2 linked regions of the Bombyx mori genome follow. The protein of the gene in region 2 purifies or fractionates together with the protein of the main gene of each other region. This does not show direct contact. Links are inferred from orthologs where the notes say so. Each region holds a gene or a part of one and is shown on either strand. Other genes may lie near its edges. The genes, in order: transcription initiation factor TFIID subunit 6 and Taf1.

Region 1 (4,512 bases), on a different chromosome or scaffold from region 2:
GTAATTCGGTGTATTGTTGTAATCTTGTATTATGTTCGGTTTTAATGAACTTCAATTAATTAGCTTTACTCCATTCAAATAGCTCAAGAAGTTTTTTTTATGATATTTTTTCCAAATTTTAAGCTTTAAATGGTTCTCCTCTGTAATGTTGCAAAAATGCTGCTTAAACCAAATTGCCTTTCACCCTTTGATATACATTCTTCTCGTTGACTAAACATAATGAAGATATACATTCTACTTTTATATTCATTAATTGAAGTAAAGACACTGCAATAAAAAGTGGAAAATCCCAACATGGATGTCATTCACATTGTGGAATATACAAACTTGCATGATCAAAGTGAATAAATAATGTAAGTACACATTTATTGAATTTGAAATTTAATGATTTTTATCTTGAGACTCAATTCACAGTTTCAACATTTGATAATGTGACGAAGGTTCTCCATAATTTTGTTATTAATAGGAATAACTACTCACATATTTTTCCAAATATAGTGACTGGTTATCAAGTAGTGCCTTAACCATTCGCATCAGGTAAATGAGAAGAGCCAGATTGTTTTGTACGACATTAACCTTCACACCTTCAGATATAAAAGTACACATTCTGGGCAACATCTCGTGTAGTCCTGGGTCACAAGCTAAGGACTGGAGCGCTTCCTGCAAGATGAAGAAATTTGTAAAGCAGAATACAAAATTATTTTTTTTCAATTATTTCAGATCTTTCACAAATAGAATAACATACATATAGGATATCTAAACCTATTAGAAAATTCTATACTTTGTAAAAAGTATGGTTGGTGATCTTTGCCACCAGTTATATATTTAGTGAGTTAGGTCTTGTTTAGACTACACTTGAACAGCAATGGAAATTTAAATATAGACATCTTTTGCTTAGATGTGTGGACGAGCTCACGCCCACCTGGTGTTAAGTGGTTACTGGAGCCCATAGACATTTACCAGAAATTGTTTTCATATAGTAAAAAATTTCTGCCGTGAAGCAGTAATGCGTTTCGGTTTGAAGGGTGGGGCAGCCGTTGTGACTATACTGAGACCTTAGAACTATATCTCAAGGTGTGTGGCGCATTTACGTTGTGGATGTCTATGGGCTCCAGTAACCACTTAACACCAGGTGGGCTGTGAGCTCGTCTACCCATCTAAGCAATATGGATATGGTTTTCCATAATAATATTGTGAAATAGTTTCTTTCAATATATCTACTATAAATATAATTATGTAATGTATTTAATGAGAAGATATGCAACTTTTTAAGATTCAATATTAAATGGAAGAAAAAATTATATGGTGTTCATTGTTTTTTTTTTTTTCTTTCTATCAGGGTAGTTACTTACAGCACGTCTTGTTTCATCACTGCCAACACAGGCTTCTGTGATTTCTTTATAATAGAGCTGCTGTTCAACACTCAATTCATGGGTAGCAAGCTGTTTAACATGCACAGATTCTGATGCTTTCAATCTTGCTGCTTTGCCACATATAGGTTTACCTGTAATATTTATATTTATAAAAAAATATTATCTTTCACACCCGCATAGAATCGCTTTTTTTTTAAATTGTAGCAGTGGTAAAAAAATGAGGTTATGATTCCAATGTTTATTCCTATACATATATTTGTGTCAAAATATCATTTGCAATAATCTCTTGAAAATACTAAATAACTTGTTACTTGTGTACTTTAATTCAGATAATTCAATCAGAATCCATATTAAGCCCTACCAATTATATTCTTCCAGTTTTGTATCTTTTCTACCATAAGTAAAATTAATTAAACCCTGTGATATTCCTATCAAAACAACTGTTATAGTTATCTAACCTGCAGAATCTTTATTGCTTGGTTTACTCAGTTTACTTATTGGATCAACAGATTCAAGTTTCTGAGCTTCTTTTGAAAGCGGTGGTGGATTTTCAGGTACTGTTGGTTGAACCCCATCCACACTTAGCCAATGTGCACGAACAGATACATCCAATGGAACCTTTGGGGGTGGTGCTGATAGGATCTCCGAAAGATCTATCTCTTTTTCTTCAATGAAATGGAGTTCTCTACCTCCTCCAGATGCGAACCTAAATGGCAGCGAATCAGGCTGAATAAATCCATATTGACACTAAAATGAATGAAATAATATAATGAATTAAAAAAAAATATTGTTAATTTATCATAGGAGACCATGGAACACTTAAAGCCATATTTAAATATTGCTTTAACTGCAGATATTAAAATACCTCATTGTTTTTTATCTTCAGGGCATGATCTATATCTGTAATGGAAAGTTTTTGTCTCTTTGAGTGATGCATGAACTTCATGGCATCTTGAACAATCACTTTCAAGCGATATGTAACATCATCAGCGAGTTCCTTAGCAGCGTCATCGCCAAGAGTGGCGATACCAACACTCTCTGCTATCACTTTCATGGAATCCAACGTTAACGAAGATCCATAAGCCAATTCTGAGTCGCCCATGATAGAAATTAAATCTATAAAAAAATAAGGTTGTGGTTTATGAAAGTTGTTAAAGTTCTCAATTCAATCAAAGGGAGCATATGAATACCTTTAAGATACGTTGACTACAGCATTAAACAATGATTTATCACCAAATTGGTTACGATTACGATAGACCCCTTGTATCACTGTATTCTTTGGGTTAATCTTTAATTTTTTATTCCTGCTTTTTTCTGATATTTTCCTGTTGTGATAAGGTAAAGTTAATTAATGTAGATAAGTAGGTAGGTATGTACCTGTGTACCCTAATTTATTTACTATTTGGATACAAGTAGACATTCTACCATAGATTTTTTTGGTACAACATATTCTTCTTCTTAGTTTTTGGATCCGGCACGTTTGTGCATTAGCCAGCGTCAAGTAATAAGATTTTTAGGAATCGCCGTTTTAAGTAGGTATTTACAGTTTACGAATAATAAAAAACGAAGGAAACTTAATCAATTGGCATGAAATGCTGCTTATGCTGCCCATGCTCTATTATTTGTCTTGAGTGTGAAAAAACTGGATGAAGCTATTTTATGCCAATACTATGGACATGTCACACCCAAAATTAAAACTACGGTCTCATGCCATAAGATGGGTGTAGATTATAATGTCTATGGGATCAAGTTGAGTGCATGAGCTAAGGATTGCGTAATTTATGATTTTTTTATTAAGCCAAGTAAATTTTATGACAACAAATAGAAACCATATTTTTTTACATTTTTAAGCATTGCTTTATAAAATTGTTCAGTAATGCATGCCACAGAAAAGTATTCCAGAAAATGAACAGTTATGAAACAAACATTTTTAAATTTGTGGTACATTTTGAGCTCATTTTTAGATCTAGCAATTTTTTGCTCTATAACTGACGACATATTGACTTTTGACGGCATTCCAATTTCTATTCGTTATTATTCATTTTGCCAACCATTTCAAAGAGAATAAAGGTAATCAATATAACCAACCATAGCTTCGCGTTCGATTACGGGCATTTGCAGCCTCATGCGCTTCAAGTTGTAATATTATTTTCAAAAGGTCTAGTTTTGTAAATAAGTGACTACTATCGGTTAGACGGAAAAATCGTTAAAATGTATAGAAATAAAAAAGACGTTGATAAGCACGTCGAAAATTTGCTGAACAAAATATCTTCGAGAGAGGTTGGTAGTTGGTGTTCAAATCAAGTATTACGCTTATTGACAAAGTTTTTACCATCGATATTTGGTTATTTTCAGTTTAAAAGTCGTGCTTATTCCATCGCTCGGTTGTATTTTGAAGTTGGCGATTTTGCGAATTGCCAAAAATATGTTGAGCAATATCTTACTCAAAAAGATAACAATGCAGCGGCTTATAAACTTCTCGGACAAGCTTTGCAGAAGATAGGACAAAAAGAAAAGGCTTTAGAACAATACAAAACTTCCCTGGACATTGACCCAGCCCAGACAAGCACTATTCTAGACAGTAAGTCTTACTAAAATAATATTTAATTTACAATTTATCATATAGCTACTTTACTAGGTTTGTTAATATTAAAACCAAAATCTTCTATTAAGCCATTTTTATGTGCAGTATTCTTATATATATTTATTTATATTTATGTGAAAATTATATTCTTAGTTATATTCTTTTTTTCTATCAGTAAGTGTGTTGGTGGTAGTACTATGATTAATTTATTTCCTTAGATGATTCTTGTCAGCTTGGAAGAGGTCATATTTAGTAATAAGACTGCATAAGCATAAGTACAATACATTGTTTGATTTTTTGTTTTTCTTTTGATTTTATATTGTTTTGCAATAAAGAATACTCTATTATTATCATGTATATAATAAACTACATAATATAATATTTTGTATGTTGTTAATAGGTATGTATTCATTTGTAGCTATTGTATAGTTTGAAGTTGTTATACCCGAAAAGATAAAATTCTTGAATGACTTCCACAATGCAGGAACACACTAACTTATAAAATCAACTAAAATTAGGTTTTGCTATACAAATGAGATATAGACCACAAGTCTT
Region 2 (3,836 bases):
AGTGAATGGTCACGTCCTTATTAGGTGGTTACAGAAGCCTACGAACATATCGTCATCTCGTATTAAAACTGTATAATCTCAAAACTTACTAATTTTACAGGAGAGTGTTTTAAAACTTTAACATGTGATATTTTTAATATTAATCATCTTTGCAACATTTATTTTTTATTTTTTACCATTTACACTATCTGTCTTTTAAAGTAAGACAAAATGATGTATTAATTTTGTTAATTGTAGTCAAAATATAGGTAAACTAAAAAAAAACGAAAACTAAACAACACTCTTTTGACAGTATTTATGAGAAAAATACTGGTGATATCAAATGATTCCGCATATTAACTCAATTTTGAATATTTTTGGAAATTGTACACTTTTAATGCGAGAAGACGCATTAAAAGTGTACAATTTTACAATATTGTCGCTTTATCACATCAAAAGTGAAAATGCAATACACAAAATTAATCTAAATATTGAAGTGTTAGTGATTATTATTTTTTTATTGCTTAGAGGGGTGCACGAGCTCACAGCCCACTTGGTGTTAAGTGGTTACTGGAGTCCATAGACATCTACAACATAAATGCGCCACCCACCTTAAGATATAAGTTCTAAGGTCTCAGTATAGTTATAACGGCTGCCTCACCCTTCAAACTGAACGCATTACTGCTTCACGGCAGAAATAGGCGGGGTGGTGGTACCTACCCGCGCGGACTCACGAAGTCCTACCACCAGTAAAAATATGGTGTTTCCGACAAAGGTTTTCTCACTTCATCATCTATCTTCAGCTGCATTTCCTCGTCATCGTCCTCTTGCGGGGTAAACAGGAACTTTTCTCCGTAGCCAGCGTCTTTCAGTCTTTGTTCTGCGGCCGCCATACTGAAGTAGGCGCAGCACTGTTCGGGCGACACCATGGCTCGGATTTCTTCTTCGGAGGGTAGACGGAAATCCGGCTTTATCACCCACCTGTGTTATATTTCATCTTATTATTGGCTGATTATTTTATTGTTTTCATATTGGTTGAATGTGAAAATGTCAAAAATAAAGGTCAATAATGTGTAAATGAGACAAAGTAAATCCTTTATCATCGGGTTTTTTATTCGTACAAAATGATTTTATCCTAATGTCTACGTTTGATTATACTATTTTTAGATTCTACATACTTGAGCCATAAAAATCTTTTATAACTTGATATCATGTGTCCTGAATACAAAATACAATTCTAAGATGTTTTTAAAACCAAAATGAACATAATTTTCCAAGCGATTTAATAAAAATTAAATTAAATATAATGTCCATTTTCTCTATATTATTTATCTAACTGACATACCAATTCGAATCCAATCCGGTACGCTTAAAATCAGCGCATAGCTTCAATCTCTTTCTAATCGAACTTTCAGAATGCGACGGGAACGCCCTCTTTATATCATCCATTTTTATACGACGTGGCTTGTCACGAGATTTCCAAAATAGCCTGTATATGAACACCTGAAAAAAGTAATGTTTTCAGTACTATTCATATTTAACATTCACGCTATTATGACTTGAATATTGAGTTTCAACTTTCGATGAAAAACTCTTTTCGTTTAAAAAAAAACGAATTGGCGTTTTTAGATTTATCTATACTATTAGATTAGTGTTTGTTGATCGGTGGGGATCCCTTTTGGGGATTCCGAGCACCGGTTATCGATAAAGAGTTCGACGTGCAACTTAAACCCGGTGAGTTTCTCGCCGAATCCTCTTAGCAGAATGCAATTTCGATCCGGTAGTAGAGTCAGCGAAGCACTGCTCTTACTAGAGCAGATGTTAGCAAAGTTTCCCGTGATCTCGCCTACACACCCAGTAGTCAGAATTTCCCATCTAGGCTACTAGCAGTAGGTAGGCAAAATAAAAGTGTCGATCCGTCTCCAATATTTAGAACCATATTTACCTGCAAGAAATCTCTAACGAAATTGTTAGCTCTCTTTGAATTTGGTCCGGGGACTTCATACAGCGGACACTCTTGTCCGGCAACGTACACAGCGTCGATCTCACGTATATAATATGCTTGTCTGAAATTTTATAATTAGACTTCATATGCATATGTATGTATAGTAATGATCTCAGTAGATAGATAGTAATGATCTCTTCATATGTATGTATAGTAATTATCTCAGTTATAATTTAGTTTTAAAACATAAAATTAGCATTCCGATTCATAAAAAACTATCTGAGCTCATTAAGTATGTTATAAGAATAGCTTCAAAAAGTTTTACTCATTATACATATAAGGAACTAGCCATACTCGCCTGCTTCGCTGGGCATTTAAAATTAACATTACTAGAGGTCCCGCAGTAGTCGAAATTAGACTATAATTAATTGGAATTGTAAGTTTGTACACTATTATGATTCTATTTTATACTTTTATAATCACAAATTTCGCCAAGACTACATTATAAAAAATATTAACAAAGACAAACAATATTTAATCTATTCTCAATTTGACAACAGACGTCAAGAACAAAAGTTTGACAATAAATAGTATGCATGCGTGTGTGCGTCAAATACATGGTATGTAGTGTGTGTAATGTTTTCTTTATTGATTTAATGTATCATTTATGCATTATTTTAAAAAAATATTAGCATTGTGCACTTCTTCTCTATATTCTCTATAAGTGTGGAAAATTTCATACTCCTCCGTCCGCGCAATTTTCGTAAAAAGGGATACAAAGTTTTTGCTTCACGTATTAATATATAGATTATTTATTGTCATTATTATTAGGGAGTCCAAGACTCATATAAATATTAGCCTATCCATTAAGTACATGTATTTTCTACATGGATACCAAGTTTCAAGTCAATCGGATGCATAGTTCAATAATTATAACGGAACATCCGTAAAAACCACGGTAGATTTATATATTAGTATAGATAAAACTATGTGACAGTATTTTAATATCGGGCTGATACTGCTCAGATAACTCATTGTAAATAAGACCATTAGTGTTCAGTAAATTTATTAGTATTTTAAGCAGTAATTAATTACATTTTGTTGTTATTAGTACAAAAAAATTTTATGATTCGAGGAAATTTATTTTTCCAAATTGGTTTCTGAAATTTTTACAGAACTCTGCTCACAGAATGAGCGTATTATTATTATTATCACGTTGCTCATGGACATTAACAATGCCAACCATTGGGGACTTTTCATAAATCTCATTTGTAAAATATGTTGTATGAATCTCGTATAGCGGAATGCCCGGGATTACCTCCACCGGACCGTTGAGGGTCATTATAAAGTCATTATAGAGCAGACGACATTAGCCTACTGAGTTTCTCGCCGGATCTTCTCAGTGGATCGCGTTTCCGATTCGGTGGTAGATTATGCACGGCTCTTGCTAGAGTTCGTGTTAGCAACAATGTCAGATTTGAGCCCCGTGAGCTCGCCTACTCGCCCGGTTACGCTGAAATGGTCTCTCGCGACCATCAGCTTAGGTAGAAAAAAAGCTTAAATATACATCAGACAGTATTACGTACCTGGTACGTATAATGATGAAGTCAGTCTGCGGCAACGTGTGTTCGTATATAGGAGCTCTGTACATGTTGTTCTCGACGACCGGCTGCGTGGCTCCCGGCGCCAGGATCCCGAGGAACGGCGACGTGTGAGCGTACGCTACTTCACCGTACTTCAGTGGCTTGGGACCGTTGTCCTGTTCATCAATGAAATAATTAAGTTTGGCTGTACCGTAGTATGTAAGTCTATCTTATATTGTATTTATTTTTCACATGGTATATATATCGACGCTTGAAAGGCAAACGTGACTAAGCGACAATAACTGCTTTGTACATAAATGATAGGCAAT

Evidence for each region.
Region 1: the proteins of Taf1 (region 2) and transcription initiation factor TFIID subunit 6 purify together in Drosophila melanogaster (affinity purification with western blotting; 3 studies listed by BioGRID, with this or other methods). This does not show direct contact. The link is inferred for Bombyx mori from reciprocal best matches to the Drosophila melanogaster genes Taf1 and Taf6.

Annotation. Positions count from the first base shown.
Region 1 is NC_085121.1:11,010,580-11,015,091, forward strand, and holds the start of transcription initiation factor TFIID subunit 6, read right to left. Parts: upstream 2,985-4,512; 5' UTR 2,564-2,984; intron 2,490-2,563; 5' UTR 2,476-2,489; coding exon 2,239-2,475; intron 2,121-2,238; coding exon 1,832-2,120; intron 1,505-1,831; coding exon 1,353-1,504; intron 661-1,352; coding exon 481-660; intron 1-480. Other genes in the region: E3 SUMO-protein ligase RanBP2, read left to right, coding at 3,585-3,653, 3,729-3,954. UniProt on the Drosophila melanogaster protein: TFIID is a multimeric protein complex that plays a central role in mediating promoter responses to various activators and repressors.
Region 2 is NC_085123.1:8,767,657-8,771,492, forward strand, and holds part of Taf1 (transcription initiation factor TFIID subunit 1), read right to left. Parts: intron 3,684-3,836; coding exon 3,511-3,683; intron 2,046-3,510; coding exon 1,925-2,045; intron 1,483-1,924; coding exon 1,325-1,482; intron 961-1,324; coding exon 765-960; intron 1-764. UniProt on the Drosophila melanogaster protein: TFIID is a multimeric protein complex that plays a central role in mediating promoter responses to various activators and repressors. Largest component and core scaffold of the complex.